Linked DNA regions of Macaca fascicularis. The protein of the gene in region 2 purifies or fractionates together with the protein of the main gene of each other region. This does not show direct contact. Links are inferred from orthologs where the notes say so. Each region holds a gene or a part of one and is shown on either strand. Other genes may lie near its edges. The genes, in order: PRDX2 and PRDX5.

Evidence for each region.
Region 1: the proteins of PRDX5 (region 2) and PRDX2 fractionate together in Homo sapiens (co-fractionation; 3 studies listed by BioGRID). This does not show direct contact. The link is inferred for Macaca fascicularis from reciprocal best matches to the Homo sapiens genes PRDX5 and PRDX2.

The regions. Positions count from the first base shown.
Region 1 is NC_088393.1:13,184,253-13,199,402, forward strand, and holds PRDX2 (peroxiredoxin-2), read right to left. Parts: upstream 7,216-15,150; 5' UTR 7,155-7,215; intron 6,686-7,154; 5' UTR 6,677-6,685; coding exon 6,574-6,676; intron 6,479-6,573; coding exon 6,325-6,478; intron 5,708-6,324; coding exon 5,585-5,707; intron 5,404-5,584; coding exon 5,273-5,403; intron 2,375-5,272; coding exon 2,289-2,374; 3' UTR 2,027-2,288; downstream 1-2,026. Other genes in the region: THSD8 (thrombospondin type-1 domain-containing protein 8), read left to right, coding at 7,487-7,634, 9,826-10,025; RNASEH2A (ribonuclease H2 subunit A), read left to right, coding at 12,080-12,206, 12,414-12,485, 12,612-12,738, 12,842-12,929.
Region 2 is NC_088388.1:10,070,896-10,086,085, forward strand, and holds PRDX5 (peroxiredoxin-5, mitochondrial), read right to left. Parts: upstream 7,196-15,190; 5' UTR 7,187-7,195; coding exon 7,013-7,186; intron 5,674-7,012; coding exon 5,539-5,673; intron 4,775-5,538; coding exon 4,643-4,774; intron 4,571-4,642; coding exon 4,532-4,570; intron 4,429-4,531; coding exon 4,367-4,428; intron 1,685-4,366; coding exon 1,531-1,684; 3' UTR 1,411-1,530; downstream 1-1,410. Other genes in the region: TRMT112 (multifunctional methyltransferase subunit TRM112-like protein), read left to right, coding at 7,886-7,963, 8,043-8,144, 8,260-8,349, 8,439-8,546; ESRRA (steroid hormone receptor ERR1), read right to left, coding at 9,440-9,699, 10,463-10,732, 10,822-10,989, 11,341-11,469, 11,642-11,758. UniProt on the Homo sapiens protein: Thiol-specific peroxidase that catalyzes the reduction of hydrogen peroxide and organic hydroperoxides to water and alcohols, respectively.

The DNA.
Region 1 (15,150 bases), on a different chromosome or scaffold from region 2:
AGTTGCTTTGTAAAATGGAGTGGGAACATGGACCTTTAACGGGGCGACTTTTTCTTTTTTATGTTTTAGAGACCGGTCTTGCCCTGTTGCCCAGGTTGGAGTGCAGTGGTGCAATCATAGCTAACTGCAGCCTAGACCTTCTGTGCTCAAGCAGTTCCTCCCACTTCAGCTTCCCAACTAGCTAGTACAGGCACACACCACTGTGCCTGGCTAATTTTGTTTACTTTTGTAGAGATGGGGTCTGCTATGTTGCCCTGGCTGGTCTGGAACTCCTGGGTCAAGCAGTCCTCCTGCCTTGGCCTTTCAAAGCACTGGGATTCCAGGCGTGAGCCACTGGGCTTGTCTCTCAGTGACTTTTTCTTTTCTTTTTTTTTTTTTTTTTTTTTTTTTGAGACAGATTCTTGCTCTGTCACCCAGACTGGAGTGCAGTGGTGTGCTCTTGGCTCACTGCAACCTCTGCCTTTTGGGTTCAAGCAATTCTCCTACCTTAGCCTCCCAAGTAGCTGGGATTATAGGTGCCTGCCACCATGCCCGGCTAATTTTGTATCTTTAGTAGAGACGGGGTTTTGGCACGTTTGCCAGGCTGGTCTTGAACTCTTGACCTGAGGTCATCTGCCAGCCTCGGCCTCCAAAGTGCTAGGATTACAGGTGTGAGCCATCGTGCGTGGCTGTGACTTTTCAACAGATTTGAAGAAGTGGGGTCCTGAGAAAATCCTGGGTAATAACAGCATCAGAGGTAACAGGTTTTGTTTGTTTTTGAGATGGAGTCTCCCTCTGTCACCCAGGCTGGAGTGCAGTGGCTCGATTTCAGTTTACTGCAACCTCCACCCACAGGATTCAAGCAATTCTCCTGCCTCAGCCTCCCAAGTAGCTGGGTCTACAGGCGTGCATCATCATGCCAGGCTAATTTTTATTTTTATATTTTTAGTGGAGAGGGTTTAATCATGTTGGCCAGGCTGGTCTCAAACCCCTGACCTCAGGTGATCCGCCTGCCTTGGTCTCCCAAAGTGCTGGGATTACCAGTGTGAGCCATCCCGCTCAGCTGAGAGCAGCTCTGAAATGGCAAAATTTTTGTAGCCAGGTGAGCCTGTGAAAGAACAGCAGGAAGCCAGCGTGTCTGTAATTTGAGTGAACCACAACAGGGCAGATATTTAGGGAGACTGAGCAGGGGCCTTGGGGAGGAGTGTAGATTAAATTCCAAGGGCGATGAGTGACCATTAGAGGGTATTAGGTGGGTACCAGCATTAATAGTGGATCCATGGATTAAATGAGCATATTAGCCCTGTTCTGTAGGAGGAAATTGGGGCATAGAGTAACAAAACTACTTGCCTGAACGCACACAATATTAAACTGCACCCCTGGGAACCCTGCCTTGCTGCTAATACCTGCCTCCTAGCCTAACTGCCACCCTCCCACCCCAGGGGCAGACAGGCAATCTTTCCAGCCTGGGGTGGGGCAGAGCTCACAGCAGGGACTCTGCACTCTGCACGTAGCTCAGGCTCTCATTCTTGGTTCTGCTCTTAAGACTGGGTCCCCACCCTCTTCCCCATAAGACTAGACTGGGCTGGGTTCCTTCCAGCTCGAGGAAGCCATCTTAGGAACTAGGAACTGGGCCCCACACAGGGGTCTCGGCCCCCAGCTTCACATAACTCATCACCTACAACTTTTACCACGTGCATAGTGATCTGGGTTTGCAGTCCTATTTTACTGTTAAGAGACCCAGAGATGATCACAGCTCTTAAATGGTATTTGAACCCGGGCTGGCTGGTGACAAAATGTGGGCGCTGCCTTGTATGGCCAGATTTCTGGATGTAGGGCATCCTGGGATTTGCAAGGGACAGAGGCATGCCCTACTCCTCGGAAACCGCCTTGAGCGCAAGGAAGAAAAGAGCAGGCACTGAGCATGTGATAAGACCGCCACCGTGTGGCGAAGATGAGCAACCACAGGGTCAGTTTCCCAAGCCTGAGCCTGGAGAAGGGAGGGTGTTGCAGGGGAGGACGAAAGGAGAGAGCACATCAACACAGATTTACACCTGTCCCTAATACTTTATTGGTCACCTCTAGGCCTGTGTGCGGCTAGGTGGGCTAGGGGGAGGGCGTCACTATTCAGCTCCTAGGTGGAGGCATGAGAAGGCCTTGGCCTAGCCCTCCAGGGTCCCAGACTGTAGGGTTTGGAGGGGCAGGTCTGGCCTTTCTTGGGTCAGCACAGGGCACCCAGGTGGGGGCACAGGTGGACACCCAGCACAGGCACCTAGGTAGGGGCACAAGCTTACTATCCGTTGGCTAGCCTAATTGTGTTTGGAGAAATATTCCTTGCTGTCATCCACGTTGGGCTTAATCGTGTCACTGCCAGGCTTCCAGCCAGCGGGACAAACTGTGGGAAGACACAAGGATGCGCATGAAAGCTACAGCCCCAGGTTCAAGGTGAAGCAAACAAGGGCCTGTGTTGCAGAAGAAAATGCTGTAAGTGGTTCAGGCCCAGGAATGTGGATATTAAGAGAAGCCCTCCAGCCGGGCGCTGTGGCTCACGCCTGTAATCCCAGCACTTTGGTGGGCAGATCACGAGGTCAGGAGACCAAGACCATCCTGGCTAACACAGTGAAACCCTGTCTCTACTAAAAATACAAAAAAAAAAAACTAGCCGGGCGTGGCGGCGGGTGCCTGTAGTCCCAGCTACTCAGGAGGCTGAGGCAGGAGAATGGCGTGAACCCGGGAGACGGAGCTTGCAGTGAACCGAGGTGGTGTCACTGCACTCCAGCCTGGGCAACAGAGCAAGACTCTGTCTCAAAAAAAAAAAAAAAAAAAAAGAGAAGCCCTCCAAGCCCAGTTCAGTATTTTTCTCTTTTTTTTTTTTTTTTTGAGACAGAGTCTTGCTCTGTTGCCCAGGCTGAAGTACAGTGGCATGATCTCAGCTCATGCAACCTCTGCCTCCTGGGTTCAAGCGATTCTCGTGCCCCAGACTCCCAAGTAGCTGGAATTACAGGGGTGCACCACCATGCCTGGCTAATTTTTGTATTTTTGGTGGAGACCACGTTAGCCACGCTTATCTTGAACTCCTGACCTCAAGTCATCTGCCCATCTTGGCCTCCCAAAGTGCTAGGATTACAGGTGTGAGCCACCATGCCCAGCCAAGTTCAGTATTTTCTCTTTTTCTTTTCTTTTTCTTTTGAGACAGAGTCCTGTTCTGTCGCCCAGGCTGGAGTGCAGTGGTGTGATTTCGGCTCACTGCAACCTCTGTCTCCTGGGTTCAAGCGATTCTTCTGCCTCAGCCTCCTAAGTAGCTGGGACTACAAGTGCCCGCCACCACGCCCTGCTAATTTTTTGGTACTTTTAGTAGAGACAGGGTTTCACCATATTGGTCAGGCTGATCTCAAACTCCTGACCTCAGGTGATCCACCCCCCTTGGCCTCCCAAAGTGCTAGGATTACAGGCGTGGGCCACTGCGCCTAGCCAAGTTCAGCATTTTTTAGTTGGTGTGTTTCCTACCCTTAATTCTTAAATTTCTTTTTGCCACCCACCTCTCCTTTTTCTTTTTTTTTTTTTTTTGAGACGGACTTTCACTTCACTCTTCTTGCCCAGGCTGGTGTACAATGGCACGATCTCGGCTCACTGCAACTTCAGCCTCTCAGCTTCAAGTGATTCTCCTGCCTCAGCCTGCCAAGTAGCTGGGATTACAGGCATGTACCACCACGCCCGGCTAATTTTGTATTTTTAGTAGAGACGGGGTTTCTCCATGTTGGTCAAGCTGGTCTCGAACTCCCAACCTCAGGTGATGCACCCTCCTAGGCCTCCCAAAGTCTGGGATTACAGGTGTGAGCCATGACATCTGGCCTCTTTTTTCTTTTTCTTTTCTTTTTTAAGAGATGGGTTATTCCTATGTTGCCTAGGCTGGACTCAAACTCCTAGGCTTAAGCAATCTTCTGCCTCACTCTCCAGAGTAGGTGGAACTACAGGCATGAGACAGCATCTTCCTGTCTTTTCGGCCCCTTTAACCCCATCTTTGTCCCTCTGCCCCACCCCTACAGGTTTTGTTATTGTTTTTTTTGTTTTTTGTTTTTTTTTGAGATGGAGTCTCACACTGGGCCTGGGCTGGAGTGCAGTGGTGCGATCTCGGCTCACTGCAACCCCCTCCCGGGTTCAAGCAATCCTCCTGCATCAGCCTCCCAAGTAGCTGGGATTACAGGCACCCACCACCATGCCCAGTTAATTTTTTTGTATTTTTAGTAAAGACAGGGTTTCACTATGTTGACCAGGCTGGTCTCAAACTCCTGACCTGTGATCCACCCGCCTTGGCCTCCCAAAATGCTGCTGGGATTACAGGCGTGAGCCACTGTGCCCGGCCTGTTTGTTTTTTGAGACAAGGTTTTGCTGTGTCACCCAGGCTGGAGTGCAGTGGTGCGATCATAGCTCACTGCAGTCTCGACCTCCCAGGCTCAAGCGATCCTCCGGCCTCAGCCTCCTGAGTAGCTGGGACTATAGGTATGCTTCACAAGCCAGGCTAATTGTTGCCCAAGCTGGAGTACAATGGTACGATCTCGGCTCACTGTAACCTCCGCCTCCCAGATTCAAGAGAACTCCTGCCTCAGTCTCTCAAGTAGCTGGGATTACACGCACATGCCACCATGCCCAGCTAATTTTTTTTTTTTTTTTTTTTTTGAGACGGAGTCTCACTGTGTCTCCCAGGCTGGAGTGCAGTGGCGTGATCTCGGCTCACTGCAAGCTCCGCCTCCCGGGTTCACGCCATTCTCCCGCCTCAGCCTCCCAAGTAGCTGAGACTACAGGCGCCCGCCACCACGCCCGGCTAGTTTTTTGTATTTTTAGTAGAGACGGGGTTTCACCATGTTAGCCAGGATAGTCTCGATCTCCTGACCTCGTGATCCACTCGCCTCGGCCTCCCAAAGTGCTGGGATTACAGGCTTGAGCCACCGCGCCCGGCCAATTTTTTTGTGTTTTTAGTAGAGACGGGGTTTCACCATGTTGGTCAGGCTGGTCTCAAACTCCTGACCTCAGGTGATCCACCCGTCACAGCCTCCCAAAGTGCTGGCATTACAGGCGTGAGCCACTGAGCCCAGCTCCTTTGTCCACCTTGGTTGAATGTCAGGAGTATTTGTCTCCTACCACACTAGAAACTTCCTGCAGACAAACCCCTGAGCTGAATCTTCTTTGGGGCCCTAACACCCATCTGGACAGGTCAGAGGACAGGCAGTGAATGTTTGCATGAGTGACAGAGGCACTGAGTATGTACCCATGTGTCATGTGTGTTTCTGCTCACCTTCTCCATGCTCGTCTGTGTACTGGAAGGCCTGGACCAGCCGCAGAGCCTCATCCACGGAGCGTCCCACAGGCAAATCATTAACAGTGATCTGGCGAAGGACACCCTTGCCATCGATGATAAATAGGCCCCTGAAGACATCAGGGTTCCCAGTAAGGAGCTGGGAGCTCCCACTGCCAGAGACAAGGAAGGGACTACCAACCACCCGCTGCTAGCCACAGGGCTGGGGGCAGAGAAGACATTGTACAGGAGTGGTTCCAGCTCCACAGGAATGGGGGGTCTCCATGAGCCGGGCTGAGGGTCCCACAGTACCTGTAGGCAATGCCTTCATCTGTTTTCAGCACGCCATAATCCTCAGACAAGCGTCTGGTCACGTCAGCAAGCAGGGGGATGTTCAGGGGGCCCAAGCCTCCTTCCTTCCGGGGGGTGTTGATCCTGGGAGTAGAGGAGATAGAGTTGGGGCCTCAGGATGCCTGGTACAGCCGGGTCCTCACCCTGTGGGCCCAATGTGATAAGCACTGGAGGCCAAAGATAAGGGGCTTTAAAGTAGGCTGCTGGGAGCCTCACCCACCCCACCCTGGGTTGGGTACAAGGACTTCCCACAGCTGGGAAGACTAAGCTTGAGAGGCCACGCTCCAGCTAAGTGGCTTCACATGTGCTTGTAACTTGCAGCATCACCCAGGAGAGAGCCCGTGTTAAGAGTCCCCGTCCTCCTCTAGCTGTGTCATGGGGTACAGCTCTTCACTTAGGTGAACCCGAGTTTCCATCTTTATGAAATAGGGCAGCACAGCCTCCCTCCTGGGAACTAGTAGATAGAGCAGATAAAGTTGCATCTGAGTTGCATCTGCAATTCTATGTGCCAAACAACTAGCTCAACTAGCTGCCAAATGCTAATTACTGCCATCCTTAAAAACTTGGGCGGCAATATTTCCATTATTTTCAAGATGGGGAAACGCAGGTTCCAGAGATTAAGCAATGGTCATGAAGCCACACAGCTCGGACCCGAGGGTGTGAGCTTAGCTGCAACCTCCTTCTCTGGCCCCTGCTCATACCAAGCCAGGTGGGTGAACTGAGAGTCCACCGAGACGCCCAGCACTTCGCAGCCCAGCTTGCGGAAGTCCTCGGCACGGTTGCTGAACGCGATGATCTCCGTGGGGCACACAAAAGTGAAGTCCAGAGGGTAGAAAAAGAGGACCACGTACTTCCCTGGGGAGGAGGGACCAAGAGGAGTTAGGGCCCAGCCTCTCTCATGCACGGCCCCGCTTCTGCTTCTACCTGGGTCCGCTCCGGGCTGCGCTCACCTTTGTAGTCCGACAGCTTCACCTCTTTGAAGGCGCCGTCAACCACTGCTGTGGCCTTGAAGTCAGGGGCTGGCTTTCCGATGCGCGCGTTACCGGAGGCCATGACTGAAAGCTGAGACCCCTGTCCGGTCAGTGCGCCCGGGAAGACCCTTTGTCCTCCCACCCCAAGGTCGCGCTGCGTGCTGGGCCCTGTGACTGAGTCAGCACGGCGGAGGCGACAGCACCAACCCTCACCCTCCCGGGTACCGGGTCTGCGAAGCCCAGAGGCTGCCGGAGACCCGCCCTCCTGACCAGAGCACGAGTGACCCAGCCACTGCCACTAGCACCCCACGAGCGAGTGGGCCGGAGCGCGGTGTCGCAAGCCCCAAGTCCAGAAGGAGACAGTGAGGCCCCCTCGAGCAGGGGGCGGGGAACAGGGCGATCGGGCCTGCACTGCAAGGCTGTGGCCTCGGTTTCCCCCGCAAGGACAAAGGAGGCCACTACAGCGGATGGAAAACAAAGGCGGCCAGCACTGAGGTCAGGATCCGGCCAAAGCAGCTTGAAGGGGGTCCTCCCGCCAGGTGCACTCTGTGTGTCTATACCTGCGTGGGCAAGGGCTAGACGCACGGACGATCACACGTGTGGACCCGCGTTCTCAGCGCCAAGTGAGCCCTGGGCCGCGAAGCCTTTTATGCCCGGCCCGAACCAAGATGTGCGCTGCGCAGGGGAGGGAGCAAACGAGCCGAGCGGTCGGGTCCACTGCACCCTCAGGTGCGGGGGAGCGTGCGGCCGAGTCCATGCGCCTGCGGGAGCCGGGGGGAGACGTGTTGCCTTCGGCCGGGACCACTGCACCGGCTCGCGGGGGTAATGCGGCCGCCGCAGACTCCGCGCACAACTCTCCCTGCGAGCGCGCTGGGTGCCGTTGGAGTCGGGCATGGCCCGGACCCCGGCGGCGCTGCTGCTGGCGCCTCTGCTACTCCTGCCGCTGGCGACCCCTGCCCAGGTCTACCAGGACTATCAGTACTTCGGCCAGCAGGGCGAAGGTGACACCTGGGAGCAGCTGAGGCTGCAGCATCTAAAGGGTAACCTCAGGCGGCGGGGGTGACGATGTCCATAGGCTCCCCGTTGCCCTACTTCTCCTGCTGGCTGCAAAGGGACCTTCCTCCGCGGGCTGCAAATCTCCACCCAGCTCTGCACTGGAGGCGTCCCCTTGGGCTGGTTACTGTTCTCTGAGGCTCGGTTTACTCTTGGATACGTTGAAATAGATACTGCTTTAAAGCAGCTCCCAGGGGAAGAGGGTGTGGGTAGGACATTGAAGCTGTCACTCGGGGATAGGTGCCAGGAAGGGCAGAAGCAGAGCAAGAAGGGGGCGGGCAAGCTTGGGAAGTCAGAGAGGGTCCGGTTGCAGAAGACCCGTGACCAGTGCAGCGAGAACGACAAGCGAAAACCCCAAATGGAAAGATTTGGGGAAAGAATGTCCAAGAAAGAGGGAATAGCAAGTGCCAAGGTGAAAAGGCCTAAAGGAGAAATGGGAAGAGGTCGGTGAGATGTGGCAGAGTGGGTGTGGGAGGGTAGCAGGTGTCAGATCTTGGTGAGCCGCGAGTTGGGATAAGATCGGACTTGGAGGCCTGGCGCGATGGCTCAAGCCTGTAATCCCAGCACTTTGGGAGGCCGAGACGGGCGGATCACGAGGTCAGGAGATCGAGACCATCCTGGCTAACATGGTGAAACCCCGTCTCTACTGAAAAACACAAAAAAACTAGCCGGGCGAGGTGGCGGGCGCCTGTAGTCCCAGCTACTTGGGAGGCTGAGGCGGGAGAATGGCGTAAACCCAGGAGGCGGAGCTTGCAGTGAGCTGAGATCTGGCCACTGCACTCCAGCCTGGGCGACAGAGCGAGACTCCGTCTCAAAAAAAAAAAAGAAAAAGAAAAAAAAAAAGATCGGAGTTGGGATAAGATCTGTCTCATAGGGGAAAGGGGCAGATTCAGTAAAGAGCCGTTTGAAGTGATCATAGTGGCCGGCGAGGTAGCTCACACCTGTAACCCAAGCACTTTGGGAGGCTGAGGTGGGAGGATCCCTTGGTCTCAGAGACCAGTCTAGCCTGGCCCACATAGCAAGACTCCATCTCTACAAAAAAGATTTTAAAATTAGCCTGACCTGATGGCCTAGCACTTTGGGAGGCCCAGGCCGAAGGACTGCTTGAGCCCAGGAGTTCAAGACCAGCCTAGGCAACATGGAGAGACCCCCTTCTCTACAAAAATAAATAAATAAATAAAAACAAAAAATAAATTAGCCTGCCATGGTGGCATGAGCCTGTCCCAGCTACTCAAGAGGCTGATACAGGAGGACCATTTGTGCCAAGGAATTTGAGGCTGCAGTGAGCCATGATTACGCCCTTACATTCCAACCTGGGTAACAGAGCGAGATCCTGTCTCAAAAAATAAAAATAAAAATAAAAAATAAAAAATAAACCTGATCATAAAAATTTGGTTTGTATATGCTAGCGCAGCACCAGGAGATTTACTTACCTTCATTCTGTCAATTATGCCATTTATCACTTGATAGCCCTGCTGGTCAATTGGCATTGTGCCTGCTTCAGGGCCATGGTCACACCCCTGAAGACAGAAGTCAGCATCAGATGGCAGGCACCAAGGATGTTATAGGACACTCACAACTGTGCAGGCTGGCACAGCCTGAAAGTGTCAGGTTGTAGTTCCTCTGAGCCACTTACCCTGTGTATGAGCTTGGAAGGTTGGCTTGCTGTCTCTTGGTTTTCCCACCTGAGACTCATGGAAAGATTAAATGAGGCCAGACATGGTGGCCGGCTCACACCTGTAATCCCAGCACTTTGGGAGGCTGAGATGGGAGTATCACTTGAGCCCAGGAGTTCCAGACCAGCCTGGGCAACATGGTGAAGCACCGTCTCTGCAAAAAATTAGCCAGGCATGGTGGCATGTGCCTGTAGTCCTAGCTACTTGGGAGGCTAAGGTAGGAGGATTGCTTGAGCCCAGGAAGTTGAGGCTGCAGTGAGCTGTGACTGTGCCACTGCACTCCAGCCTGGGCGACAGAGCGAGACCCTGTCTCCAAAAAAAAAAAAAAAAAAAAAAAAATTAAATGAAATAGTCTACGGGGGAGTGTCTGGCATAGAGGCAGAGTCTAGCGAATATGCGCTTCTCTTATTTGTTAGTATCTTTATCTTTCTTCCTCTCTGGGGGAGGAGATTGGGAGTAGGCCGCCTCCACGTAGGTCTTCACCTCTGCCCTCCTTCTCTAGAAGTCGAGGACTCAATCCTTGGCCCGTGGGGAAAGTGGCGGTGTCTCTGCGACCTGGGCAAGCAGGAGCGCAGCCGCGAGGTAGTCGGCACAGCGCCAGGCCCAGTTTTCATGGACCCGGAGAACCTGATCCAGTTAGGACCCTGCCGGCAACGGGATTGTCCATCCTGCAAGCCCTTCGACTGCGACTGGAGGCTCTGAGCCCGAGTGAGAGAGGGGCCCAGAGGACGCCGGGCCGGGGCAAGCCGCGGGGCCCAGGGTGGGCGCGGAGGGAGGACGTGCGGTGCGTGGCGGGTATGAAGTGAATTTGGGGAAGGGAGAACTGGGGCTCCAAGTCTTGAGTGACTTGAGACTGATATGGTTAGGCGGAAGCTGAGTCAGGAGCCGAGAGCCCCGCTGATATCTAGGGAGAAAGGCAGAAATATGGAGGGGGCGCTGGGCGCTAGGACTCACCCCTGTAATTCCAGCATTTTGGGAGGCCAAGACAGGCGCATCTCTTGAGTCCAGGAGTTCAAGACCAGTCTGGGCAATATAGTTGAGATCATCTCTCCATGAAAATTTTTAAAATTAGACGAGCGTGGCGGCACATGCCTGTGGTCCCAGCTACTCGGTAGGATGGGGAGGGAGGATCGCTTGAGCCTGGGAGGCAAAGGTTACAGTGAGCCGAGATCGCTACACTGCTATCCAGCCTGGGAAACAGAGTAACACCCTGTCTTAAAAAAAAAAAAAAAAAAAAAAAAGTGGAGGGGGAGGCGCAGAGGAATAAAAGGAGATAAAAAGACAATGAACTAGGACCCTGAGGAAGGGGCATGAGCCTGGTAAGGGGCGGGAACCCACAGGCAGAGGACATAAGCCCCAGTGAGTCCAGGGAATAGAAGAAGTGTGGAGGCCAGGCACTGTGGCTCAGGCTTGTAATCCCAACACTTTGGGAGGCGGAGGCGGCCAGATCACTTGAGCCCAGGAGTTTGAAGCCAGTCTGGGCAACATAGTGAGACCCCGTCTCTACAAAAAATACCAAAAATAGTTGGGCATGGTGGTGTGGTGTGCACCTGTAGTCCAGCTGCTTGGGAGACGGAGGTGGGAGGGTCGCGTCAGCCCAGGAGGTGGAGGTTGCAGTGAGCCAATATCACACCACTGCACTCCAGCCTGGGCAACAGAGAGAGACCCTGTCTAAAAAAAAAAAGGGGGGGGTGTCGGGGTGGGGGTGGGGACGTTTATTCTAAGTTAGGAGGAATGAGCTTCTATATAGTGGGCACAGACCCTGAGCAGGAGTCCACTGAGGTCTGTGATCTCCAATGGGGGTGGGGAAGGCTTGGCCTGAATGAGAGAGAGGGTAGGAAGCACAGATCCTGCAGGGAGTGGGGGTGGGCTGAAGGCAGCAACCAAGAGAGGGAGTTTGGGGACTCCAAATCCAAAAGCCTGAGTTTAGTGGAAGCGGGGCTACCTGGTTCAGGGGACTTAGAATGTGTACAGAAGAAGGGACTGCAGGCCGGGCGCGGTGGCTCAAGCCTGTAATCCCAGCACTTTGGGAGGCCGAGGCGGGTGGATCACGAGGTCAGGAGATCGAGACTATCCTGGCTAACATGGTGAAACCCCGTCTCTACTAAAAATACAAAAAACTAGCCGGGCGTGGTGGCGGGCGCCTGTAGTCTCAGCTACTTGGGAGGCTGAGGCGGGAGAATGGCGTGAACCCGGGAGGCGGAGCTTGCAGTGAGCCGAGATCACGCCACTGCACTCCAGCCTGGGAGACACAGCCAGACTCCGTCTCAAAAAAAAAAAAAAAAAAAGAAGAAGGGACTGCGAGTACAGGGCCTGAATCCAGGTGGAAGTCGGGGACGCAGTGATGCGGGGACCCGTGTCCTGGGACAGGGGTGATATTTGACCCTTAGTTCCCCATTAGGTTGGGTCTTCGAAGCTGCGTCTCAGTTTCCCTTTTATTTCCCCTTTTTCCCACCGGCCAACGCAGGCGGGGCCCCAGAGACCGTGAAGCAGAGCTTGCAAAGTGACCCGGTCCACCGAATTCCCCACGCTGAGTGTTCGGCCACAGTCCTTCGGGACTACAATTCCCAGAAGGGCGCACGGCAGCGGCGTCGGCGTCGGCTGCGTAAGCGCCCACGGCCGTGGGAGCGACAGGGGCGTGTTCTGCCCGCGGATTGGCCGGAAACAGGCGCCACTGCAAGGCCCGCGGAAAACGCGCGCCGAGACCCGCTCCCGCGGTGTTAGTTCTTGCAGCTGGTGGCGGCGGCCGAGGCGGCATGGATCTCAGCGAGCTGGAGAGAGACAACACGGGCCGCTGTCGCCTGAGTTCGCCTGTGCCCGCGGCGTGCCGCAAGGAGCCTTGCGTCCTGGGCGTCGATGAGGCGGGCAGGGGCCCCGTCCTGGGTGCGCACCTAGGGCCAGGGAGGGGAGGGGCGTGGTACGGGGGATGAGGGAAACGGGAGTCGGGATTGCACCGCACCAGGGGAGGGGATGTGGTCGTGGTGATGGCACCCAAAGAAGCAGTGATGGTAGAACAGGGATGGATGGCAACTTTCACGGGCTCAGTGATTGGACCCCGGCTGCGAGAAAACTGACACCCCTTCTCCCCAGGCCCCATGGTCTACGCCATCTGTTATTGTCCCCTGTCCCACCTGGCAGATCTGGAGGCCCTGAAAGTGGCAGGTGAGCCCGAGGTGTGCGTCTGGGGAAGGGATTCCCGAGTATGTGCAGGGGCAGGTGAGAACTGAAAGGGGAGGACAGGAACTGGGAGAAGCAGCTGTTCCACTTCTCTTCCAAACCTCCTTCCAGACTCAAAGACCCTATTGGAGAGCGAGCGGGAAAGGCTCTTTGCGAAAATGGAGGAGAACAGGGACTTTGTCGGCTGGGCGCTGGACGTGCTATCTCCAAACCTCATCTCTATCAGCATGCTTGGGCGGTGAGGGGTACCCGGGGGGGGCTGTGGGAGAGGGGCAGCCAGCATGGGCTGACTGGGCTTTCTTCCTAGAATGAGGTTAACTGGGCTCTGTTCCCCACCACAGAGTCAAGTACAACCTGAACTCCCTGTCACATGATACAGCCACTGGGCTTATACAGTATGCATTGGACCAGGGCGTGAACGTCACCCAGGTGAGTTAAGTGTTGAGTTGTCCCCATTTGGTCATCGCAGGATAAACTGGCGACAAAACAGGAGTTCTAGACTGCAGTGAGCCATGATCATGCCACAGCACTCCATCTTGGGTGACAAAGAAAGACCCCCCCAACCCAAAAATAAAAATGGAGGCCAGGCCCAGTGGCTCACGCCTATAATCGCAGCACTTTGGGAGGCCGCAGCGGGTAGATCACTAGAGGTCAAGAGTTCGAGACCAGCCTGACCAACATGGTGAAACCCCGTCTCTACTAAAAATACAAAAATTAGCTGGACGTGGTGGTGGGCGCCTGTAATCCTAGCTACTCAGGAGGCTGAAGCAGGAGAATCGCTTGAACACAGGAGGCAGAAGTTGCAGTGAGCCAAGATTGTGCCATTGCACTCCAACCTGGGCAACAGAGTGAGACTCTGTCTCAAAAAATAATAATAAATAAAAATAAACTAAAAATAGGAGGCTAGGCACGGTGGCTCAAGGCTGTAATCCCAGTGCTTTGGGAGGCTGAGGCAGGCAAATCACCTAAGGTCAGGAGTTGAAGACCATCCTGGCCAACATGATGAAACCCTGTCTCTACCGAAATCGCTTGAACCCAGGAGGCGGAGGTTGTAGTGAGCTGAGATCGTGCCATTGCACTCCAGCCTGGGGGACACAGCAAAAAATAAAAATAAAAGAAGTAAATGTGGGCAAAAACATGCAGTGGGCAGATTCAGCATCAGATACGTCTGGAGTGCCTCAGGCATATTCCTTGCTACTGCTGATTTCGTGCTCCTGTTTCTGCCCTAAATGTGTGCCACACTGAGGACCACAGTGTAGCCCCTAGTCCCATCTCCATCTAATCTCTCCCTCATCCTAAAGGCTCAGTCTGCAGAACAAATCCCACATGTGTCTCCCTGCTACCTCTGTCCTAGCCCAGGACACCCCCCACACCCTGGACACCTGCTAAGCATCGTCTCTCATCCCCCACCCTCCTGTTCCCTCCAATCTGTTCCCCATGCAGCAACAGAAGGTAGTCTTTTTGAAATGCACATCTCCTGTGGCTCACACCTGTAATCTCAGCACTTTGGGAGGCCCAGACGGGCGGATCACGAGGTCAGGAGATGGAGACCATCCTGGCTAACACTGTGAAACCCCGTCTCTACTAAAAATACAAAAAATTAGCTGGGCGTGGTGGCAGGTGCCTGTAGTCCCAGCTATTCGGGAGGCTGAGGCAGGAGAATGGCGTGAACCTGGGAGGTGGAGTTTGTAGTGAGCCGAGATCGCGCCACTGCACTCCAGCCTAGGCAACAGAGCGAGACTCCGTCTCAAAAAAAAAAAAAAAAAAAATGCACATCTCAACATTTAGTTTTCCGATCACAGTGGAAATTAAATCAGAAAAATTTACAGTCGAGTGGGGGAGAATTACATTAAATTACCAGAGAAAAACATAAATCAGCATTGCCTCGAATGCTCTCAGTGAAAGAACGGACCATTTTGAGAGAATAACAAGGCAAAATAACCTCGATGTAGGAATTGTATGCTGGGTGTGGTGGCTTATGCCTGTAATCCCAGCACTTTGGGAAGCTGAGGTGAGCAAATTGGTTGAGGCCAGGAGTTCCAGACTAGCCTGGGCAACATAGCAAGACCCCATCTCTACAAGATGAAGAAAGAAAGGAATTATAGCAAGGTAGGCCTTGCTGAGGAGGGACCTGAGGATCAGGTCCAAATGCAGAGCTGGCGATGCAGTAACTGGCATAGATAGACAAGGGACCTGCCCGTGGGGGTTCAGGGCCTAGCCTGGGCAGAAAAATGTTTAGCTGGTAAACAAAAAATAAAGGTGGTTTCTGAAAACAGTACTGCTGTGGAGATACCACTTTCCCCCAGCAGCTCTTGACCCCTCTCTTCGGTGCTGTAGCCATAGACCCCCGTGCAAGGGCCCAGCATCATGGACCTGGTCCCAGCTCAGGGCCTTTGTACTGGCTGTTCTTACACCTAGAGCCCTCTTCCCCAGATCTCTGCACGGTTTAGTTCCTCACCTCCTTCAAGCCTTTATTCACCACTACACCTAGCTAATTTTTTATTTTTTGTAGAAACATGGTCTCCATATGTTGTCTAGGTTGGTCTCGAACACCTACCCTCAAGTGATCCTCCCGCTTTGGCTTCCTAAAGTTGGGATTACAGGCGTGTGCCAACGCACTCTACCACTTTTTTTTCTAGTGTTTTCTGCC
Region 2 (15,190 bases):
ACTCCCACTACCCATCTTGCTGTGGCAGCATGGGACTGTCCCACCCTCCACCCCTAGGGCTATGGGGCTCACCCCTAGGATGACGGGGCTCCCTCCGACTCCCACTTGAGGTGCCACTCCCACTACCTCAAGGGTCATTTGCTCTGAGGCCCCGCTTTGACCTTCTCCCTGACCTCCCGAGTGTGGCCTGCCCGAGTCAGCAGTGGGGGCTGACCCCTGGGGACCACTAAGCACGAAGTGCCCAGGAGCCAGGTACTGATGTGGCTCATGGCAGGGCAGCTCCACACAGTGATGGAATCCGGACTCCCTGTAGGTGGCTGAGAGGCAGCAACAGTCCATACCTCACTGATTCTTGTGAAGGCTGTTAGGACACCTGGGGCAGGCAGGCAGCATCCCACGCAGCGGGGCCTCACCATCACACATGTGGCTTTCCAGCACCAAGGGACAGAGGCCCAGGAGCAGGGCCTGCCATGGCAATGGCCCCCATCCCCACACCGTGCTGGCATCCCCGCTCAAGGCCCCTCATACCCAGCCACCACTGGTCAGACCTCACCAGCGTCTTCTCCCCTCCACAGCTCACCTAGTCTCTTCCCCCAGGGAGCCCCCCTGGACTGAGCAAGTGCTGTGCCAGAGCCCCTCTCCCTGTTCATCAGACGGTCCTAAGGTGACCTGAGCTCTCCCTGGGATGAGGGTGCACCCCGGAGGGGTTCAAGTTTGAAAGGATGGTGGGGCTGAGCCCCGGCAGGAATGCTGGGAGCCAGGGTTCCCACCATGGGATTTCCAGACAAAATGGCATCAGTCAGCACCCAGAGAGCAGGTACAAAGGCCACCCTGTGCGCCACGCGGCATAGGCCGGGCCTTGCCCTCTGTGCTGCCTCTGTGGGGACCGCTGCTTCCCTTCCTCTTCAGATTGCTGGCTCCTTCTCAGTGCTCAGTAACACCTCCCTCGAGGCCGGGTGCCGTGGCTCACACCTGTAATCCCAGAACTTTGGGAGGTGGAGGCGGGTGATCACCTGAGGTCAGGAGTTCGAGACCAGCCTGGCCAACATGGTAAAACCCTACGTCTACCAAAAATACAAAAACTTAGTCGGGCGTGGTGGCAGATACCTGTAATCCCACCTACTGAGGAGTCTGAGGCAGGAAAATCGCTTGAACTTGGGAGGCGGAGGTTGTGGTAAGCTGAGATCATGCCACTGAACTCCAGCCTGGGTGACAGAGTGAAACTGTCTCAAAAAAAAACCAAAAAAAACCAAAAAAAAAACCTAGGCCCTGCCTAGCTTCCCCTTAATTAAGCCAGGACCCCCTACATTCTCCCTTTCAGCCCATCTGTACCCTCACCACTCTCACCCAGTCTGTGATGATGCCAGAATGCCTGGCACTCAGCAAAACAGCCATTCATAACCAAGGAGATGGACACAAACTGCAAGTGTTTATTGCAGAAATCTGGCCAAGATTCCAACTGCAGGGCCCCGGCACAGGGCTGGACAGGTGAGATAGGGAGAGGTGGAGGAAGCGATCTGGCCCAGGGCCTCAGAGCTGTGAGATGATGCTGGGTGCCAGACTGCAGGTGAGGCCTGTGCCATCTGGTTCCACATTCAGGGCCTTCACTATGCCATCCTGTACCACCATGGAGAACCTGCCGGAAAGAAGGGCCCAGCCAGCTGCCTCAGCCTGGGCTTGGAGGCTGGGCATAGAGACAGGTGGTGAAGAGCCAGGGGCCGAAGAGAACTCCAGAGAGGACTCCCCGACAGAGGACTCTCCCCACAGAGGACTCTCCCCCACAGAGGACTCTCTCCACAGAGGACTCTCCCCCACACAGAGGACTCTCCCCCACACAGAGGACTCTCCCCACAGAGGACTCTCCCCCACAGAGGACTCTCTCCACAGAGGACTCTCTCCACACAGAGGACTCTCCCCACAGAGGACTCTCCCCCACAGAGGACTCTCTCCACAGAGGACTCTCTCCACAGAGGACTCTCCCCCACACAGAGGACTCTCCCCCACACAGAGGACTCTCCCCACAGAGGACTCTCCCCCACACAGAGGACTCTCCCCACAGAGGACTCTCCCCCACACAGAGGACTCTCCCCACAGAGGACTCTCCCCCACACAGAGGACTCTCCCCACAGAGGACTCTCCCCCACACAGAGGACTCTCCCCACAGAGGACTCTCCCCCACAGAGGACTCTCCACACAGAGGACTCTCTCCACACAGAGGACTCTCCCCACAGAGGACTCTCTCCACAGAGGACTCTCCCCACAGAGGACTCTCTCCACAGAGGACTCTCCCCCACACAGAGGACTCTCCCCCACAGAGGACTCTCCCCACAGAGGACTCTCCCCCACACAGAGGACTCTCCCCACAGAGGACTCTCCCCCACACAGAGGACTCTCCCCACAGAGGACTCTCCCCCACACAGAGGACTCTCCCCACAGAGGACTCTCCCCCACAGAGGACTCTCCACACAGAGGACTCTCTCCACACAGAGGACTCTCCCCACAGAGGACTCTCTCCACAGAGGACTCTCCCCACAGAGGACTCTCTCCACAGAGGACTCTCCCCCACACAGAGGACTCTCCCCACAGAGGACTGTCCCCACAGAGGACTCTCTCCACAGAGGACTCTCCCCCACAGAGGACTCTCTCCACAGAGGACTCTCCCCACAGAGGACTGTCCCCACAGAGGACTGTCCCCACAGAGGACTCTCTCCACAGAGGACTCTCTCCACAGAGGACTCTCCCCCACACAGAGGACTCTCCACACAGAGGACTCTCCCCACACAGAGGACTCTCCACACAGAGGACTCTCCCCACACAGAGGACTCTCCCCCACACAGAGGACTCTCCCCCACACAGAGGACTCTCTCCACAGAGGACTCTCCCCACAGAGGACTCTCCCCCACACAGAGGACTCTCCCCCACACAGAGGACTCTCCCCCACACAGAGGACTCTCTCCACAGAGGACTCTCCCCACAGAGGACTCTCCCCCACAGAGGACTCTCCCCACAGGGGACTCTCCCCACAGAGGACTCTCTCCACACAGAGGACTCTCCCCACAGAGGACTCTCTCCACACAGGGGACTCTCCCCACAGAGGACTCTCCACACAGGGGACTCTCCCCACAGAGAACTCTCCCCCACAGAGGACTCTCCCCACAGAGAACTCTCCCCCACAGAGGACTCTCCCCCACAGAGGACTCTCCCCACAGAGGACTCTCCCCCACAGAGAACTCTCCCCCACAGAGGACTCTCCCCACAGAGAACTCTCCCCCACAGAGGACTCTCCCCACAGAGGACTCTCCCCACAGAGGACTCTCCCCCACAGAGGACTCTCCCCCACAGAGGACTCTCCCCACAGAGGACTCTCCCCACAGAGGACTCTCCCCACAGAGGACTCTCCACACAGAGGACTCTCTCCACACAGAGGACTCTCCCCCACAGAGGACTCTCCCCCACAGAGGACTCTCTCCCACACAGAGGACTCTCCCCACAGAGGACTCTCCACACAGAGGACTCTCTCCACACAGAGGACTCTCCCCCACAGAGGACTCTCCCCCACAGAGGACTCTCTCCCACACAGAGGACTCTCCCCCACAGAGGACTCTCTCCCACACAGAGGACTCTCCCCCACAGAGGACTCTCTCCCACACAGAGGACTCTCCCACACAGAGGACTCTCTCCCACACAGAGGACTCTCCCACAGAGGACTCTCTCCCACAGAGGACTCTCCCCACAGAGGACTCTCCACACAGAGGACTCTCTCCACACAGAGGACTCTCCCCCACAGAGGACTCTCCCCACAGAGGACTCTCCCCACAGAGGACTGTCCCCCACAGAGGACTGTCCCCCACAGAGGACTGTCCCCCACAGAGGACTCTCCCCACAGAGGACTCTCCCCACAGAGGACTGTCCCCCACAGAGGACTGTCCCCCACAGAGGACTGTCCCCACAGAGGACTCTCCCCCACAGAGGACTCTCCCCACAGAGGACTCTCCCCACAGAGGACTCTCCCCCACAGAGGACTCTCCCCACAGAGGACTCTCCCCACAGAGGACTCTCCACACAGAGGACTCTCTCCACACAGAGGACTCTCCCCCACAGAGGACTCTCCCCACAGAGGACTCTCCCCACAGAGGACTGTCCCCCACAGAGGACTGTCCCCCACAGAGGACTGTCCCCACAGGGGACTCTCCCCCACAGAGGACTGTCCCCACAGAGGACTCTCCCCACAGAGGACTGTCCCCCACAGAGGACTGTCCCCCACAGAGGACTGTCCCCCACAGAGGACTCTCCCCACAGAGGACTCTCTCCACAGGGGACTCTCCCCACAGGGGACTCTCCCCCACAGAGGACTCTCCACTTTTACCTCTTGAGACGTCGATTCCCAAAGATGGACACTAACGAATCATCTAGTAATAAGTCTGTCTCCTAAGAAGAGACAGAGAAAAGTATCAGAAATCCCTGAAGAGGCTAAGGGCCCCCACTGCTCCCCACACGACCATGTTCCTGTGGTGGTCAGGGGAACACTCACCTTCCCAAAGGCCCCAGTGGGATCAGCCAGGAGCCGAACCTGCAGAGAAAGGAAAGGTCACAAGAAGAATATCCTACCTGGCCCTGACTCCCTGCAGGCCCCACACCTCACCTTGCCTTCCGCCTTGTGGGCTCGGCCCCACTCGCCAGTCACAAAGGCATCATTAACACTCAGACAGGCCAACACCTGGACTCCCTTGGCCTTCAGAGCCTCAGCCTGCTCCACAAACCCTGGTAGGTGGGTCTGGGGAAGGGGAACAAAGGGTTGGCAAAGTGATAACTGCATCTGCCCCCTAGCCCACCCTTCATCTCCAGGCCCTCCTCACTGCTCTGCCTCAACACCTTTGATCAGACAATGAGAGTTGTCTAAACCACTCTATTTCCTTTTTGCCTTGGCCACTAGGAAGCTCAGAATGAAACCTAATGCCTTATGGTCCAGACGTGAACTTTCCATGGGCAGAACTATGTCTTAGTTATCTGAGTTCCAAGCACCTTCCAAAGTGCCTGTCATTTAGCAGGACCAACAGGGGTGTTGGATTTAATTGCAATATGTTTTTCTTCAACATTCCTGGTACTGTTCCCTTTTTGCAGTCTCTATTTTTTTTTTTTTGAGACGTAGTCTCACTGTTTCGCCCAGGCTGGAGTGCAGTAGCACAATCTCCACTGACTGCAACCTCCGCCTCCTGGGTTCAAGCAATTCTCTGCCTCAGCCTCCCCAGTAGCTGGGATTACAGGCACTCGCCACCACGCCTGGCTGATTTTTTTGTATTTTTAGTAGAGACAGGGTTTCATCATCTTGCCAGGCTGCTTTTGAACTCCCAACCTCGTGACCCACCAGCTTGGTCTCCCAAAGTGCTGGGATTACAGGCGTGAGCCACCGCGTCCAGCTCTACTTGTTTTCTGATGGCACTGAAATGCTTTTTAGGAGTCCTGTCAGGACTATGTGGACGACTTAAGAACAACACAAGAGATCCCAGGTCCTGATCTTCAGAAGGGGAAGGGCCTCACCTTGGAACATCCAGGCGTGAAGGCCCCGGGAACTCCAAACAGCACACCCTTCTTGCCCTTGAACAGCTCTGCCAGGTTCACCTTGTTCCCTGGCTCCCCTTCAAACACCTCCACTGCAGGGATGGCATCTCCCACCTAGAGGGAAGGACTCCAAGGTAAGGGGGGTGAGGGAGCGGGGCAAACCATAGGCAGGAAAGTGAACAGAGCGCCTGGCAGCCGGGCCTTCAGGAGCCGGGGCTGAAACCCAGCAGGATGCTCCAGCCCTGTCAGAGTTTCCAAGGGCCCTCCCTGCCCGCTCACACCGGGTTACCCCATATCCTCTAGGTTTCAAGATGGCCCTGCTCCTTTTAAGGGGCCATTGGTGACAACAGAGAAAGGGAGGGAAGGCTTCCCCTAGTGTCACAAAGGGTTACATAACATGCTGTCTGTTACAGGAAAGGAGTGGAATAAAATGGGCAGGGGCTAGAGGGCTGTATTTGGAGGTGAGGAGGAGTCCCTGACAACATGGAGGGAGAGGATCTTGGGCAGGTCTGAGGGTCCCACCCTCAAGAGGAGAAAGAGGGAGGGCAGCGGCAGGTGGAACACTGGGGGAGGCTGTCCAGGCCCCTACACCCAGGAGGGGTACAACAAAAGAAGGAATCTTTTGAAGGGGGAAGGATCCGCCCCTGGAGTATGTGAGGGCTTCATGGGGCCAGAGTGGGTAGGGAGAGAGAGTCTGAGGTGGTGGAGTCTCTGAGGAGCCCAAAGGTTGGCAGCAGGATGAAGTAGAAAGGGAATGGGGTCTCACAGGGTTTGGGAGGAGAAGGGGGAAGGTCCAAGACCCCGGGGACGGTTCCAGGAGGTGAGTGAAAGACGAGCAAAAAGGTGGGAATTCGCCATGGGAGGAGGGGAGGGCGGAGCGGGATGGGGGAAGCCCCGGCGGGGGCACTAAGGGACAGCTGTTTCAGAAGATATGGGAAATCAGGCCAGGAGCGGTGGCTCACACCTGTAATCCTAGCACTTCGGGAGGCCGAGGCGGGCGGTTCACCTGAGGTCAGGAGTTCCAGACCAGTCTGAACAACAGGGTGAAACCCCGTCCGTCTCTACTAAAAATACAGTAGCCGGCCGTGGTGGCTCCCACCTGTAGTCCCACCTACTCAGGAGGCTGAGGCAGTAGAATCGCTTCAACCCGGGAGGCGGAGATTGCAGTAAGCAGAGATTGCGACACTGCACTCCAGCCTGGGCGACACAGAGGGACTCCATCTCAAAAAAAAAAAAAAAAAAGAAACAATGCCTCGGAACTGCCCCGGGAGGTGAGGTCCCCACGATTGGCGAGAAGGGTGGGCAGCCACGAGGGCCTTCTGAAGGGATGAGCGGGGCGGCCGGCGGGGAGGGGTCTGGCAGGCAGGAAATAAGGCGATATTCCCAGACCAGCGCGACGGGGGTTGGCATGGGGGTAGTGGGGGATGTCAGGCCCGGCCGGGCCAGCGGTCACCTTGATCGGGGCCATGGCTGCAGCGGTTCTGCTGAAACTGCGGACCCCGCCAGACGCCCACCCTCCTTCACTTCGCCGTCTTGCTGCTGCTGTCGCTGCCACAGACTGACCGGCGGCCCCACCGAGTATATAGCCCGCTGAGCGTCTCAGGACGCACACGCCGGCTAGTCCCATACCCGCCCTAAGACCACTTTCACTCCGCCCCCTAGCTGGGGCCACCGCAGCAGGCGGGGCACGGCTGGAGGCACTGCTGCGACACCCTGCGGAAGGCGGGCCTGGGCCGCCTCCACTGCGCAGGCGCGAGCGGCCACGCGTGTAACAGAGCTTCCGGGACCCTCGCCTCATTTGCCTTGGGGGCTAGCTGGACAGCAGACGCAATTACAAATTGGGCAGAGCTTTCGGCATTGGGGCAGCTAATTTGCATATAAGAATGAGGTGCCGCTCGGCTTCCACGGGTCTAATTTACAGATAGGGCAGTATTTCTGCCCCTTAGCCGAAAGCGGGGTACAGAAGACGACGGTGTTAGGCGCCTGTGTAGGAGTAAAACATGTTTATTTTGCATTCAACGAGAGCCCCTGCATTGCAGCTATTTTGCATATGATTTGCATGATACGACGGATTTGTGCAAAAAAAAAAAAAAAGCTGGGCGTGCGCTGTAGGAACCTCCTGCTGAGACGCTTCCGGTAGTGGCGCGTGACCCGACAGGTCTTTCACTTACCTAGCTCAGCTCCCGCAAGCACGAGAATTTCCAGTAAGTTCGCCACTTCCGGTTCTCCTGGCCAACCAATAGCATCGAGTGGAGCATCCCCGGAAGTGACGAAGCGGAGGACGCCCTCTTTCCGGTTCCGGCCTGACGAGAGCCTGTTCGGCGATATGAAACTGCTCACCCACAATCTGCTGAGCTCGCATGTGCGGGGGGTGGGGTCCCGTGGCTTCCCCCTGCGCCTCCAGGTACCACGGCGGGCTTCCCTTTTCGGGTGGGATGGTGGGCCAGGGTCCAGTGCTTGCCTAAACTCCTCCGCCCTGCCAGGCCACTGAGGTCCGTATCTGCCCTGTGGAGTTCAACCCCAACTTCGTGGCGCGTATGATACCTAAGGTGGAGTGGGCGGCGTTCCTGGAAGCGGCCGATAATGTGAGGATCCTTACCCCGCCCGAGCATATCCCGGGGAGTGCGGGGCGGGCACACCTCAGCCGGGCTGAGGCGGGAGTTCGGGATGCCCGGAGATAATTTCGCCTCTTGCCCACAGTTGCGCCTGATCCAGGTGCCTAAAGGGCCGGTTGAGGGATATGAGGAGAATGAAGAGTTTCTGAGGACTATGCACCATCTGCTGCTGGAGGTGAGAAGCGGCCCATCACTTGCTTCCTGGGCCACCTGCCTCCCTCACTGAGGCCGCCAGTGCTCAGCTCTGTCCCTCCCCGCCCGCAGGTGGAAGTGATAGAGGGCACCCTGCAGTGCCCGGAGTCTGGACGTATGTTCCCCATCAGCCGCGGGATCCCCAACATGCTGCTGAGTGAAGAGGAAACTGAGAGTTGATTGTGCCAGGCGCCAGTTTTTCTTGTTATGACTAATGTTTTTGTTGATGTATACCGTTTCCAAATTCTGCCGTGTATATCCCCAACCCTTGACCCAATGACACCAAACACACAGTGTTCTTGAGCTCGACATTATATATTTTTTTCTCATTAAAGGTTCAAAACCAAAAGCGGTTTCTCTTTGCAGCAAATATACATTAAAATAGAGTCTCTGTACAGCCAAGGGCTCTGGGCCCTGGCTTGCCCCATGTCCCTGCGCCTCCCTGGCCAAACCCAAAAATAAATATAGTGTTATTGCTCTGCAGGGCATAGAGGCAGTGCTCTCCTACCCCCTGAGGAGGCTGGATGGGAGCTGATGGGGAAGCTCTGGCCACCCCAGGGGTCCAGGGGCTGGAGCCTGCTTGGAGTTATTGCTTCAAGGGGGGGCACTAATGCCCAATGCAAATGATGAGAGGAGGAGCGAAGGGGTATGGGCCTTTGCTCTCCAAGTCCCACTCTGCTCTGAAGAGGGGGTAGGATTAAGCAGCAGCAAAAGCATCACCCACTGGGAGACTGTGGCCTCCATCCCCTTCCCTCCCTGAGATAGGCTTCTGCCTCCCACACATCCCCTGCAGCCCCCTATGGCTTCCGCAAGGCCCCCTACACTCTGGGGGCACGTTATGGCTTGCAAGGGGCAGCACTGTGCCCAGAGTCTGGACACACGTTCCCAGCTTCTGACACCCCCTAGGAGGGGGGAGGGGAGGGCGTGGGGCCTGTTCCCAGGGGCTGATGGCATTGCCCTGGCCTTGCCAGCAGGCTGTGGCACTGCCCAGACCCCAGCTCCGCCCCAGCCCTTGGGGCTGACCCCATGCTAGGCAGGTCCTGCCAGAACCCCCACCAGGACCACCCCTTGCCTCAGTCCATCATGGCCTCGAGCATTTCCAAGAAGAGCTTGTGCATGGGCACCTTGCCTTCCAGCTTCACCCCATAGAAATGGGCCAGCACTTTGCCCGCTGTCTGGCGGAGGAGCGGTAGCGTGAGCAGCAGCCTGCCCGCCCTCCGCCGCTCAGCACCCCCTCCGGGGCCAGCCCGGCCGGCTTCGTACTCCAGCAGGGCCTCATGCAGAGCTTCTCGCAGCTGCTCCACAGCCTCAGCATCTTCGATGTGCACAGAGTCTGCAAGAAGAGAGGAGCATGGTATTGGCCTGGGCTGTCTCTGGCAAGGGCACTCCCCACATCTTGAACACTGATGGATGGGGTCTAAGGAGGAGCCAAATGAGGATTTGGTTTTTTTTTGTTTTTTGTTGTTTTTTTTTTTTTGAGACGGAGTCTTACTCTGTTGCCCAGGCTGGAGTGCAGTGGCCGGATCTCAGCTCACTGCAAGCTCCGCCTCCCGGGTTTACGCCATTCTCCTGCCTCAGCCTCCCGAGTGGCTGGGACTACAGGCGCCCACCACCTCACCCGGCTAGTTTTTTGTATTTTTTTAGTAGAGACGGGGTTTCACTGTGTTAGCCAGGATGGTCTCGATCTCCTGACCTCGTGATCCGCCCGTCTCGGCCTCCCAAAGTGCTGGGATTACAGGCTTGAGCCACCGCGCCCGGCCTGAGGATTTGTTGATTGGCTGATTGAGGGGCACCACTCACTGCTCCAGCACGTGGGCCAGGACCCCACCTTTTCTCCCTCAATTGTGGCCACCTTGTACCGTCCCCATCTTCCCTCCCACTAAACTTGACCTTTCTGCATTAGCATGGCACTAGGGCTCAAAATCCTGTGTGCAGTTTGGAGCCTGCGCTTGGCTTGCTTTTTGAGTTTGAGCAAATCATTGTTCTTCCCTAAGCCTCAGTTTTCCTTATCTGCAAAATGGGACTGTGTCACCATCACTGAGTTAAAAACCTGAAGACCTTACGGAGACACCTGTCCGTGCCTGCTCCAGACTCACCTGAATTGGCAAGGGCCAGGGCCTTCAGTAGAACGTACTCCTCTCGCTCCAGCCGCAGGGCCTGCAGCCGCCGCACCAGTTGCAGCAGGGCAGCCCCCAGTTCCCCCAGGCCAGCTGCCCGTGCCCCCTCTTCATCCAGGACTAAGTCCTCAGCAAAGGCCAGCTCATCCTGCAGTGGCAGTGAGCGCTGGGCCACACCCAGCACCAGCACCTCCATCCACACGCTCTGCAGTACTGACATCTGGTCAGACAGCGACAGCGATGAGAAACCTAGGGGGCAGTGGGGAGCGGGCCTGGCTGAGCAAGCACACCAGAGCCGGGCCTGTTCAGGGCAGCCCCAGGTCACCTGGGCCCTTTACCTGGGATGCTCTTGGCCCAGCTGATGGTGACCACAATCTCTCGGTCAAAGAGGTCACAGAGGGTAGCCACGGCTGGGAGGTGCCCATCAGGGCCCGCGGGGTCGGGCATGGCATAGAGCTTCTCAGGCTCAACCACCAGCAGATGAGACACCAGTGCATTCACTGGGGCTGCGGTGACAATTAGAGGACAAGAGTCAAGCCTCAAGGGGTCAAGCATCTTCCCAGAGTCGCTCCCCCTGTGGCCTTCCTCAGTAGCAGCTGGCCAGCGACTTCCCTCCGGGAAGAGCGCTGTCTCCCAGGGAAAGCCCGTGTGTTTGTGGACAGGCTGTGAGTGTTGGAAAATCGTCCCTGTTCCCCGTCCTACTACTTTTCCCAACGCAGGGAAAGGCATTTTCACATGTCTTGGGGAAGTGAGTGAAGAGACGAAGGGGAAATACAGGTCCCAGTGCCAAAGGTTAACTATGATGCCACACATAGGCCTCCCGTGTCCTAGCCCCAGGGGACCCACAGTGCTCTCACCTGTCTTCCGGGGGCCGCCAGAGACTGCCAGGGGCCCAGCAGGGAAGGGGCCCGGGAAGGGCAGTGGGTCCACCTCTGGTCGCCGCTTGTACTTCTGCCGCCCACCCCGGACGCGGTCCAGGCGCACTCCTTGAATTGTAGGACAGATAGGACTGTGACTGCGGTGCTGTGGGCGGAGTGGGGCTTGCTCTCCAGAGTTGTCCTCCCCCAGTCCACTCACCAGAACTCCCAGGCCTCGCGCCCATCCGGCCCGGGCCCCCCCACTCCCCCAGCCCTCGCCCAGCCCCTGCCCAGTGCTCACCCTCCTTGAGCATGCCCACCCGCAGGCACTTGGTGAAGCGGCAGGCCTGGCAGGCCTTGCGTCTCCGCTTGGTGATCTCACACTCGTTGGAGGCCGGACAGCTGTACTCGATGCTCCCTGCCAAGAAGAGGCAGGGCTCCAGAGGTAGCCTCCCAGGGTCGGGAGGGGACCCAGCTGACAGGAGAACCCTGACTCTCCCCGGGCAAACACAGGTCTGGGGGTACGGGGAGGAAAGGGAGAGCAGGCAGCCATGAGCGGGCAGGGAGGGGAGTGGTTGCTGGGCCGGGAGACCCTGCCTGGATGAGGGAGGAGCTGGAACAGGCAGAGGGGCTGCATCTCGGCCCCAAGCCTCATCTCTGGCCCACAGCCCTCATCTGCTGATGAGGCCACAAAGGCCACAAAGACCTCTGCGTTGCTAAATCCAGTTGTCAATTCTCAGTCCTCATGTTACTTGGCCTAAAAGAAGGATCTAAGGCTGTTGATCACTTCCTGCTCCTAGAAACACTTAAACACTTTCTTCTTTTGCTTCTAGGACACCATGCACTGTGGTTTTCCTCCCACCGCACCAGCCACTTTGTGGTTTCTGTGCATCTTCCCAAGCTCTTCCATCCAGACTGCCAGGGTTGTCCTTGGAGTTCATCTCCAATCCTATGGCGATCTTCTCCAGCTGTGGGGCTCTCATGTTTCTATCTCTAGCCTGGACCTGCTGTGAGCTCCAGACCCATCTCTCCAGCTGCCTCCTCGACATCCTGCATGTCTAGAAGGCACCTCGGACCGAACACAGCCTACGTGGACTCCACGTGTTCACTTGCCCAAAAAGAAACCTGGGCAGAATCTCTGGTTCCTCTCACACCCCACATCCAAGCCACCGACACATTCTGGTGGGCTTTACCTCCCCCGAGGTCCAGAATCCACCTCCTGCTCCTGGCAACTACTTCCACCTTTGACCCGATAGTCACCATCACCCCACCCCTCGCTGGCCTCCTGCTCTGTCCCTGCTTGCTCCAGTCTGTTCTCAACACAGCAGCCAAGAGGGTTCTATTAAGCCTCCATCACATCCTGTACCTCCTCTTCTCAAAACCCTCCAGGGATTTCCCTTCTCTGAGTCTAAGCCAAAGCAAACCCACGTCCTCCCAGGCCTATGCCCCTGCTCCTTGCCACCTTTTGACCTCTGCTCCTTGCTCTCGCCTCCTCCATGTTCCTCCAACAGGCCCTGCCTGGAGCTCTGGTCCTGAAGTTCACACAGGCTCCCTCACCTCCCTCTGCTCACTGTCACTTTGGAGGTCCTCAGCACTAGTAACGTGGTGCTGGCGGCCCTCCCGGCCTCACAGGGCCTCACAAGGACCAAATGACACAGCTAGACAGCAGGCCAGCAGCACATTTCTCCTCGCAGTGCGTTTTCTCCTACCCCCTACTTGGGCTTCTACGCTCAGCTCAAGACACCATGGCCGGGCGCAGTGGCTCACACCTGTAATCCCAGCACTTTGGGAGGCCAAGGCAGTCGGATCACCTGAGGTCAGGAGTTCGAGACCAGCCTGGCCAACATGGTAAAACCCCGTCTCTACAAAAATTAGCCTGGCATGGTAGTGGGCGCCTGTAATCCCAGCTACTCAAGAGGCTGAGGCAGGAGAATCGCTTGAATCTGGGAGGCAGAGGTTGCAGTGAGCCAAGATCATGCCACTGCACTCCAGCCTGGGTGACACAGCGAGACTCCATCTCAGAAAAAAAAACTAGCTGGGCATGGTGGTGCATGTCTATAATCCCAGTTACTCGGGAGGCTGAGGCAGGAGAATTGCTTGAACCTGGGAGGTGGAGGGCGCAGTGAGCTGAGATCGTGCCATTGCACTCCAGCCTGGGCAACCAGAGCGAAACTCTGTCTCAAAAAAAAGGCCGGGCGCAGCGGCTTACGCTTATAATCCCAGCACTTGGGGAGGCCAAGTCAGGCAGATCACAAAGTCAGGAGTTCGAGACCAGCCTGACCAACGTGTCTACTAAAAGTACAAAAATTAGCTGGGCGTGGTGGCGTGTGCTTGTAGTCCCAGCTACTTGGGAGGCTGAGGCAGAAGAATCGCTTGAACCTGGGAGGCAGAGGTTGCAGTGAGCTGAGATCGCACCACTGCACTCCAGCCTGGGCAACAGAGCGAGACTCCGTCTAAAAAAAAAAAAAAAAGAGGCCGGGCGCGGTGGCTCACGCCTGTAATCCCAGCACTTTGGGAGGCCGAGGTGGATGGATCACGAGGTCAGGAGATCGAGACCATCCTGGCTAACATGGTGAAACCCCGTCTCTACTAAAAATACACAAAAATTAGCCAGGTGTGGTGGTGGGCGCCTGTAGTCCCAGCTACTCCGGGAGTGTGAGTCAGGAGAATGGCGTGAACCTGGGGGGCGGAGCTTGCAGTGAGCCGAGATCACACCACTGGACTCCAGCCTGGGTGACAGAGCGAGACTTCGTCTCAGAAAAAAAAAAAAAAAGACAAGCCCTCTGGAGCCTCAGAACCAGCACCTCCCCTTCCTGCACATACCACAGCTGTAATAAGACAAGTCTGTGCCACTCACTGTTGCCCAGCTCTCCCCTCTGCCAGGAGGAAAAGTGCCTGAGGGCAGAAACAGCCCTGCTTCAGCCCCAGCTGTGTCCCCAAGGCCTGGAACACTGGCCAGGACAGAAAAGCATAGGTCTGTGCCGAGCAGGGACTCTGGCTACCACATACCTTTATGATCTTGGGCAAGTCCCATACCTAACCCCTTGAACCCTCAGTTTCCTAGCTGTAAAAGTGCCCCGAATTAAAGGGGATAATGTGGGCAAAACATCTAGCATGGTTCATAACACCTAAGTGCTCAATATACAATTCCTATTCACAGCCAGCACACAATAAATATTTGTCAAGAGTCAACATACAGTGAGGGGCCCCAGGGTAGGTAGGAGACATCTGCACCCTGGCCTGCTGGCTCACTGGTCTTCAGAGCGGGAAGGGTGCACAAAGTTTTAGATCAGTGAATTTTGGCCAAGTTAAAACTTGCTGGATTGGCTGGGCCCAGTGGCTCACACCTATAATCCCAGCACTTTTGGAGTGTGAGGAGGACAGATCACCTGAGGGCAGGAGTTTGAGACCAGCTTGGCCAACATGGTGAAACCCCATCCCTACTAAAAACACAAAAATTAGCCGGGCATGGTGGCAGATGCCTGTAATCCCAGCTACTTCGGAGACTGAGGCAGGCGAATGGCTTGAAGCCGGGAGGCAGAGGTTGCAGTGAGCCATGACCGCAGGCACTCCAGCCTGGACAAGAGCAAAACTCCATCTCAAAAAAAAAAAAAAAAAAAAAAAAACTTGCTGGAATGTCACAATCAGTCATTTGGCGTCTGTCCAGAGTTTCGTGTTACTAGTAATAAGCAGAGGCAGCAGTCTAACATTGAAGAGCTCAGCTCTGGACCTATACTGACCCAAGTTCAAATCCTGGTTCTGCCATTTCCTAGTTGTGAGACTTCAACAAAGTTTCAAATGCCTCTCAGTCTCACTTATAACAGTACTGACACCTTAGAGGGTTGCTATG